Linked DNA regions of Alligator mississippiensis. The main gene of each other region encodes a partner of the protein of the gene in region 2 in a complex. Links are inferred from orthologs where the notes say so. Each region holds a gene or a part of one and is shown on either strand. Other genes may lie near its edges.

Region 1 (3,914 bases), on a different chromosome or scaffold from region 2:
ACAGACACGCTCTCTGTCTACTTTTACAGAAGCCAAAGGGAACTCCCAAATGGGACAAATTATGAACACAGTACATTTACTTATGGAAAACTTCTGTTGACTGAAATGGAGCAGGATTTTGTTCTTAAGTACTAGACCTGAAAGAACCACTTGCTAATGCTGAGCTTTATGCACAGGTCCCTAGAATTGTTATTAAAGACTCAGTGGCTTGTTGAAGATTTCATTATTTGGTAGTTATAGATTAATATCACACAACTGCTTGTGCACAATGGTGTTTAATATTTCTTTGTCTAGAACAAAGGCTACCATTTCAAGAAGCTGCATTGAGCATTGTAGAGACCATGATGATTTAAGAGCTTCCTCCTATCCATCCTCAACCACAATCCAACTTTCATTATGGAAGCCCCAAAGATGATGAAAAGATGAAATAAGAATGATTTCTTTAGTAAATATTTTAGCTGACTTTCTGTCATTCATTACTATTCATCCTAGTAGCAAACTGACTGGGTAGATCTGTACAGAACAGGGGTAAAGTGTCAGAAAGGATAGGTGGTCCAGTAACTTGGAGCTACCTTAAGGACTGGGAGACCTACTTTCAAGTCCCCACTCCACTCAACAGCATCTCAGTGCTGCAGTTTCCAATCTGTGAAATGGGGTAACTCCAGACCCCAATGGACAACTCTGCACAGAGTCCTCTTTAACTTCAGAGAGGTCCCTGCAATTATAGGTGAGTCCTCACATGGAACCAAGTGGTAACAGATTAGCAGGGAAAGAATCCATCCCACTTCACCAGAACCCTGCAGGTTCTGCTCTTCTAGTAACATCTGACTTTTATCATTCAAATGAGCACATATGAGTTGGTGTAACTACTGGGAAGTTTAATGAGGTGCTGTGGTATTTTATTAGAGCAACTCAAATAGTTGGAAAAATTCTTCTTTGCAAGCTTTCAGGTACACTTCAGGCAGACACTTCCTCTGCCTGACAAAGGGTATTTGTACTCGAAAGCTTGTAAAGAAGAATGTTTCCATTCACGTTGACCTAATAAAAGATATGTGGTATTTTTAAATCACTCAGGAGCTGACTGCACCATCGTTCACCTCTAGTAATCCTCCTCCCAGGCAGAGTCCCGCTGCGACTAGATAGTGTCATGTTTCTGGGGCCAGTGTGCCCACGCAGCGCGTGGGAGGCCGACCGGAGAGCCCTGACTGAGCTCCCCTCCCTCCGCGCTCCTGCGCTGCAGGGCGCAGGGCCCCGAGCTCGCGCGACAGCCGCGTTGCGGGAAGACCCCGGCACGCCAGGCTGCCCTGCCCACAGCCCCCTGCACGACAGAAGGCGCGGGCCGGTGGTGGGCAACAAGCAGCAGCACCTCCCCCGCGGCCCGGCCGGGGGAGATCGCCAGTAAGTCCCCAGAACGGCCGCGGCGGGCGCTGCAGCTCTAGCCCCAAGCACCGCCCCTTCCCCCGCCAAGGGGCGTCACCACCTTCGAGGCAGAGCCCAGGGGGCGGGGCGGGGCGTACACACCTATACGTTATCTTCACTTTGCGAGTCGCGACTGAGTGACGTCACCGAGCGCGCCCGCCGCTGGTGGCTAGGGGTGGTGTTTGCTATTGTTCGGTGAGTTGCGGGTGGATGACATCATTGAGCGCGCCCGTCCTGGCGGGCATGGAGGCAGGGATGGAGGAGTTGATGCCGCGGCTGCTGCCAGTATGGGACTGCGAGCTCGCCGAGGACTTCGATCCCACCGCGCCCCCGCGGACGCCGCAGGAGTATCTCAAGCGGGTGCAGTAAGTGGGAGCGGGGAGCAGGAGCCGCCCCCCGCTCTGGGGCGAGCGGAGCGGACGGAGACGGGGCCGGGGCTGGGACCGCCCGTCCCACTGCACGTTCTAGCGCCGCCCGCCTCCGCGGGAAGCAGCTCCCCCGAGCTCTGCAGCTGGGCTGGCTCGGAGGGACCCCATGGGAGACTGAAGCACCGGCTTGACCACCGGGAGCCCTTTGCCTTGCCCCGGTGCTGCTGCACCGCCTAGCCTCGTGTCAGTGCCCTGCGGGATGCAGGAGCTAGTGCACTGCATACTGTAGGACCCACTGGGGTCTTTGCCGCAAATCTTCTGAGAGGGAGATGCTCTGGGCTGCATGTCTGGGCAGCACCATCTCACCCTGCTCACTCTCCTCTGGAGCCCCCAAGTGCCACTGTAGTGCCAATAACTGCTGAGTTTGGTGCCAGTGAATGTAACTGCTCTTTCCTTGTTTAAGATCTTGACATTTTTTGTTAACACCAACTTAAATAGAAACTTGCTTGCACACTCCGACACACAATCCGCCCCTCTTCCCCCCCCCCCCCCCCCAACATGACTCAGCCATGTTCATCTGTGTATCAGGGTAGTTTCTCTTAGGACTCTTTGACCCCATGCTGCACATCATGATCTGTTTTCCACCCCCACAGTATTATGTTGGAATTCATAGATGTTGGGGTCAGAAGGGACCTCAATAGATCATCGAGTCAGACCCCCTGCATAAGCAGGAAAGAGCGCTGGGTCTAGACAACCCCAGCTAGATACTCATCTAACCTCCTCTTGAGTAACATGGGAGCATTTGGAGTCTTTATCCAGTTTACTTTAATCAGAAGGATTAAAATGCAATCTTACTAGCTGTATATGTCAATAGGTAATAGCCTTCACTGCTGCCTCCAAAGGAAAGGTGGTCCTGTGGCTAAGGCAGAGAACTCCTGGAGTTGGGGATTTGGGATTCTGCTGACTGCCACAGCTTGGCTCATTTAAAACAAATTAACCTCTGCTCTCATTTTCTCTCTATAAAATGAGGGTATATACCTACTGTGGCCTAAATAGCAAGCTTAAAAGATGCCTGCATTTGTTTCTATTCCGTTTGTTTGTTTCTGTTAAAACCTTGCTGCATACCCTCTCCTAGAAGCATTCTCTCTTCTTTTCATTTTTTAATACATTCTCATACACAACTTAATTGTGCAAGTGCCTCATATTTTGATCTGGTCCCTATGCAAATATTACAACTATTTGCAAACTAATTATGTAATTCTAAGGAATGCAGCAGAGAGGGATTACAAATGTGTGGCGTTTTTTTCTTTTTAGGATTGAAGCTTCACAATGCCCAGATGTTGTTGTGGCACAGATAGACCCCAAAAAGCTGAGAAAGAAGCAGACCGTGAATATTTCAGTAAGTTTGTAGAGATATGTTCTTAAGAGACTTATAGAAAACACAGACTAAAATAAATGAAATGAGAATTCTAGGATAGAAAAATATTTGTATTAAAATACCTGGAAGTCTCAAGTAAATTTTAAAATATACTGTCCCTATATCTTAAAAGAATTTGGACAAGTAAATGGAATCTCCAGCCCTGCAGTCCAAATTCTGAATTGGTGGAAAAACTACAGTCTCTGTAAAACTCAGTTGTTCTAATGTATACCATATTTTCTTCATTCTAATATGAGGGTTCCCCCCACTTCATATAGAGGGAATCCCCTTGTCTTAGAAGTGAATACAAGGACAGAGAGCAGGCAGCTACAGAAGCTAAGACTTCAGCCCAGGCGTGGCCAGAATACAACCCATAGGCTGGATCTGGTCCACCAAGCATTTTATCCAGGTCGTGGCGGGTCACTCAGACCCATCTGGCTGAGGTGCAGGTGGCAGCCTAGGCTTTGGTGCGTGTGGATGGTCCCATCGTCCCCAGGCACACAGTGGGGCTGGGGCAGCGTGGCAGCCAGACTGTTTCCTGGCATCCTTGTTGGTGGCTGCTCTTTCTGGCTGCTACTGCCAATGTTGCCACTGCCACTGGATCCAGCCCTGCTGCCTGGGCATCCTGGTCCATCTACCCCGCACCTATCATTTGGGGGTGCTGGGGCAGGTGGGGTTTCCATAGACACTGGCCTGGGACCTCCATGGAC
Region 2 (3,914 bases):
ACCTTCCATTGAAAATAAGCATAAGGAAACAAGGGCCGCAGTAATTAACCATATCCAAGAGTTTCACTCCCTAGGGGAAAAAGTGGGGGTTTGAAAGGGAAGAGAACAGTACCTCAGTAAAATCCACACATTTCACAATGTGCTTGTGAGCTAATGTCATTAGTTCATCTCCTGAAACAGCATCCCATACTTTGCTGAAAGACAGTACAAATACAGTTGTATAGTTACTACTAAGTGCATTGCAACTAAACTAACTATTCAGGTTGCAGCAAGATTTTCCTGAGAACATAATGTAGTGGTTATACATAACTACTACACTCTGGCAACACGTAAAGCCCAACAGTAGAAATGCTTAGTGTTTAAGAACAAATACATCAGAATTTCCAGGGGTGTAGGTTGTAGCCGTGTTGGTCTAAGGACATAGGCAGACAAGGAAGTGTACACACCAACTGCTGAAACTTCCTTATCCAGACAAAGGGTTTTTGAACCTGAAAGCTTGCTTAATAATTGTTTTCCAACTATTTAAGCTGGTCTAATAAAACATATCAAATTCACTCAAAGAACCTTGTCTGCCTTAGAATTTCCATTTCTTTAATTCCTTTGTACCACTCCAAAATAAACAGCCCTTCTCCCTTTAGTAGTAGGTTTGAAAAATGTCTGCCTAAAATTATGAATCACTTGTACATGATCTGCACTCACATTCTTATGAACTATTATACACATACTCTGAGTAGTCTGAACAAAGTTAAGAAAATTGTGTATACAAAAACATTAAGCATGCATGTAAATATTTAGCAAGTTTACAAGAAAATAATTTAACTTGAGAAAAATTAAGTGACAGTAGGTACCAGAAGAAGTCAAATGGGAAAAAAGTAGGTACCAGAAGAAGTCAAATGGGAAAAAAGTGAGAAATGGCAGTTAAAAGAACAAAAAACCCCCCATACTTCTAGAAGACTTTAGCATCCGATATAACTGCAACACAAAAGATTAGAGGCTATCTAAAATTGTTGTTGGTAGACAATTATGTTATTAGTCTATGTCCATAAAAGTAATCCGTTAAGCCATCTCTACAGTTTAACTACCATTACTGTATTACCACAAATATCAACAACCTCACTTTCTATAATTTTTAATACAAGTCTCTGTAAATCGGCCAGGTGTGTAAGAAAGGCAAATATATTTAATGCAGAAACTGCATTTTAAAAAAATTACAAAATTCTAGGATTGCAAACTGAAATCATAATACAGTCAAATTTTAGACATGGTTAATTACTTACGCAGTAAAATCTGCAGCTGCTGTAGCTGCTTTAGTGGCATCCTTGTTCAAAGTGGCACCCCATACGGCACCTTTATGACCCATAAATGTTCCAATCCAGTCTCCTGTGTCACCTTGGCGTAGCATAGGTTTGCCATCTTGGGAAAAAGAAAGATTAACAATCAGATAAAATACATGTACTTAACAATGACTAACAGATCTAAAGAACTCACCCACTACACTCAACTTACTGCTGCTCCTGCCTCTGCGGCACTGTCCCTCACTTCAGGGGCCTCAATCTAGCTCCCACCCCTTCCCTCCCCCATGGATTGACCTGCTGGGCTAGGGCACGCACATGCATGCACACAGGCACTCAGCCCCCCCCCCCCCCCCCCCGCCTCGGATTGGCTCCAAAAGCCTCCAAGATCAACCAGTGGATTGAGATCCACTGGTTGGTGACCACTGACATAGAGGGTCCTCTTAAGGAAGACAATTATTTGGTCAAGGCAATGGGTATGTGCAAAAGATAGTATCCTAAAAAGATACAGAAGAAAGATGTACCCAGGGAAAAATCAGGGACAAGAGGCCATTTGCTGCAATGAATGCACTGCAATCCCGGCAGTGGTGTCAAGCCACAGACACTTTATTCTGAAGGCAGGCACGGGTGGGGCAGGCACCTCTGCAGTCCTCCCATCAGATCCAAATCCAGAACAGAAACAGAACTTTCCTCACAAGCAGGACCTGGGCCTCTGGGGCCCAAGTGGAAAGCAGCCGCCCACGTCCTCCCATTGCCCTAACCAATGGGGCAGCTACGGCCTGGCCTTCCCTCCACCATGTTGACCCTGACCCCCTACCCATGCCTCGTACAGGACACGGGGAGAAGGAAGAAAGGAGAAAGGAGACACCACCCCCCCCCCCCCCCCGCCCCGCGGCCTGGTCGCGAGCGGGGAGGGAAGGACGAGACAAGCCGCGCCCCCCCAGGCCCGGAAGAACACCGCCCCCGCCTCCAGCCCTCACCTTTGCAGGCGCTGATGAGGAAGTAGCCGTAGGGGGTGATTCCGCTGAAGGCCAAGTCCACCACGGGCCGCGTGTGGCCCGAACACGTCAGTGGGGTCTGCCGCATCGCCATGGCGGCGGCGAGCGGGAGAGCGGGCGGCGGCGGGAAGGGGAGACCGCGCGCGCTCGCAAGGACAGGCCACGCGTCGTCAGCCCCCCACTGCCGGGCAGGAAACGGGGAGGTGGCGGAAGTGACAAAGAGGAAGTCGCCGCCGGCGGAAGTGCGTCTCTGTAGGGGAGACCGGAAAATGCGGACTCCCCAACCCCGCTCCACGTGACGACTCAACTTCCGTCACGTGACCGCTCCCTCCTACCCTACCCGCGTTTCCCTGCCCGAGACAAGGGCTCGATAGTGGGCGGGGCCTCGCGCACTAGCCCCTCCCCTGGGGCGGGGGCTGACGCGGCCGTAGTTGGACGCTGTTCGACTTGCAAACAGGGCTCCGAAGCTGCAGCCTGCAGGCCATGCTGTTCTGAAACCTGTGCCGCAGGCGGCCGCCCGCCCACCTCTGCTGCTTTTCTGTCAAAACGTGAAAATAAACCGACGATTCGTTGGGTAAATCTGGCCAACTAAAATGAAGAGACCACATTTACCCAGAGAGCCTTGTCTGCCTGTGTCCTTAGACTAGCGTGGCTACAACACACACCCCTGAACGCAACCTGGCATTTTCTGAGGGAGGGGCGCCATGAATCTAACCAGGCTGAGAAACAGGCGCCCTCCCTTCACGCTCTCTCTTTTTAGCCTGTGGTCCGCCGACCTCCCCCGGCAGACTGGGCACTTTTACCTAGATTTCATAGACATTAGGGCTGGAAGGAACCTTGCCGGATCATCGGGTCCAGCCCCCTGCCCCAGGGGCAGGAAGTCAGTTGGGGTCAGGTGACCCCTGTAAGATAGGCGTCCAGGCATTTCTCAAAGCTATCCGGAGTAGGTGCTTGCACCACTTCTGGTGGGCGTCTATTAGGGCTGTGCAAAACAGCACCTTTTTGTTTCAGTTTCGTTTCGCCTTTTCAAAGGGACAGTGTTTCATTTAGACGTTTCCTTTCAAGCGCGGTTCTGTTTCATTTTGTCAAAACTGTTTCACTGTTCAACGCTGACGCACTTCAACGTTTCGCCCGTCGGCTATAATGGGGACTCACAAAAAATTCCTATAAGTATCATTTTTCGCCTAATTTGAATGAAGACAGCACAGCACATAGCCCCTGCTGAGGCCACAAAGCATGTCAAGTTTCAAGGAGATAAGTGCAGGGGTTTGGGGGAAACTGCACCTCAAACTGTTCAGAGCAAAATTTGTGTCACTTGTAACTGAAGGGCGGGGGGTGAAAACCTCAGGGATGGTAGCCCCTTATGAGACCATGAAGCCTGCCAGGTTTCAAGGAGACAGGTGTAGGGGTTTCTGGGAAACTGCACCTCAGGCAAACTTGTGATGTGTCACTTGGTGTGTGTGTTAAGGTGCGCCCTCACTGGTGCTGGTGCTGGTGTCATCCTACATGACATGGTAGTGTGCCCCAATGAAGTCTCTTCCTCCCCTACAGCCTCATTTCGGTCCACCACTTTAAATAACAACAGGTAAGTAAGCAACACAGTAGCACTAGCATCTCAGGCAGC

What was found.
Region 1: STRAP (region 2) and GEMIN2 share a complex: the UniProt entries of both Homo sapiens proteins name them as parts of the SMN-Sm complex. The link is inferred for Alligator mississippiensis from reciprocal best matches to the Homo sapiens genes STRAP and GEMIN2.

The regions. Positions count from the first base shown.
Region 1 is NC_081825.1:260,114,440-260,118,353, forward strand, and holds the start of GEMIN2 (gem-associated protein 2), read left to right. Parts: upstream 1-1,132; 5' UTR 1,133-1,147; coding exon 1,148-1,398; intron 1,399-1,576; exon of another isoform or gene 1,577-1,629; coding exon of another isoform or gene 1,630-1,784; intron 1,785-3,101; coding exon 3,102-3,186; intron 3,187-3,914. UniProt on the Homo sapiens protein: The SMN complex catalyzes the assembly of small nuclear ribonucleoproteins (snRNPs), the building blocks of the spliceosome, and thereby plays an important role in the splicing of cellular pre-mRNAs.
Region 2 is NC_081827.1:120,443,330-120,447,243, reverse strand, and holds the start of STRAP (serine-threonine kinase receptor-associated protein), read right to left. Parts: upstream 2,518-3,914; 5' UTR 2,385-2,517; coding exon 2,273-2,384; intron 1,414-2,272; coding exon 1,278-1,413; intron 195-1,277; coding exon 113-194; intron 1-112. UniProt on the Homo sapiens protein: The SMN complex catalyzes the assembly of small nuclear ribonucleoproteins (snRNPs), the building blocks of the spliceosome, and thereby plays an important role in the splicing of cellular pre-mRNAs.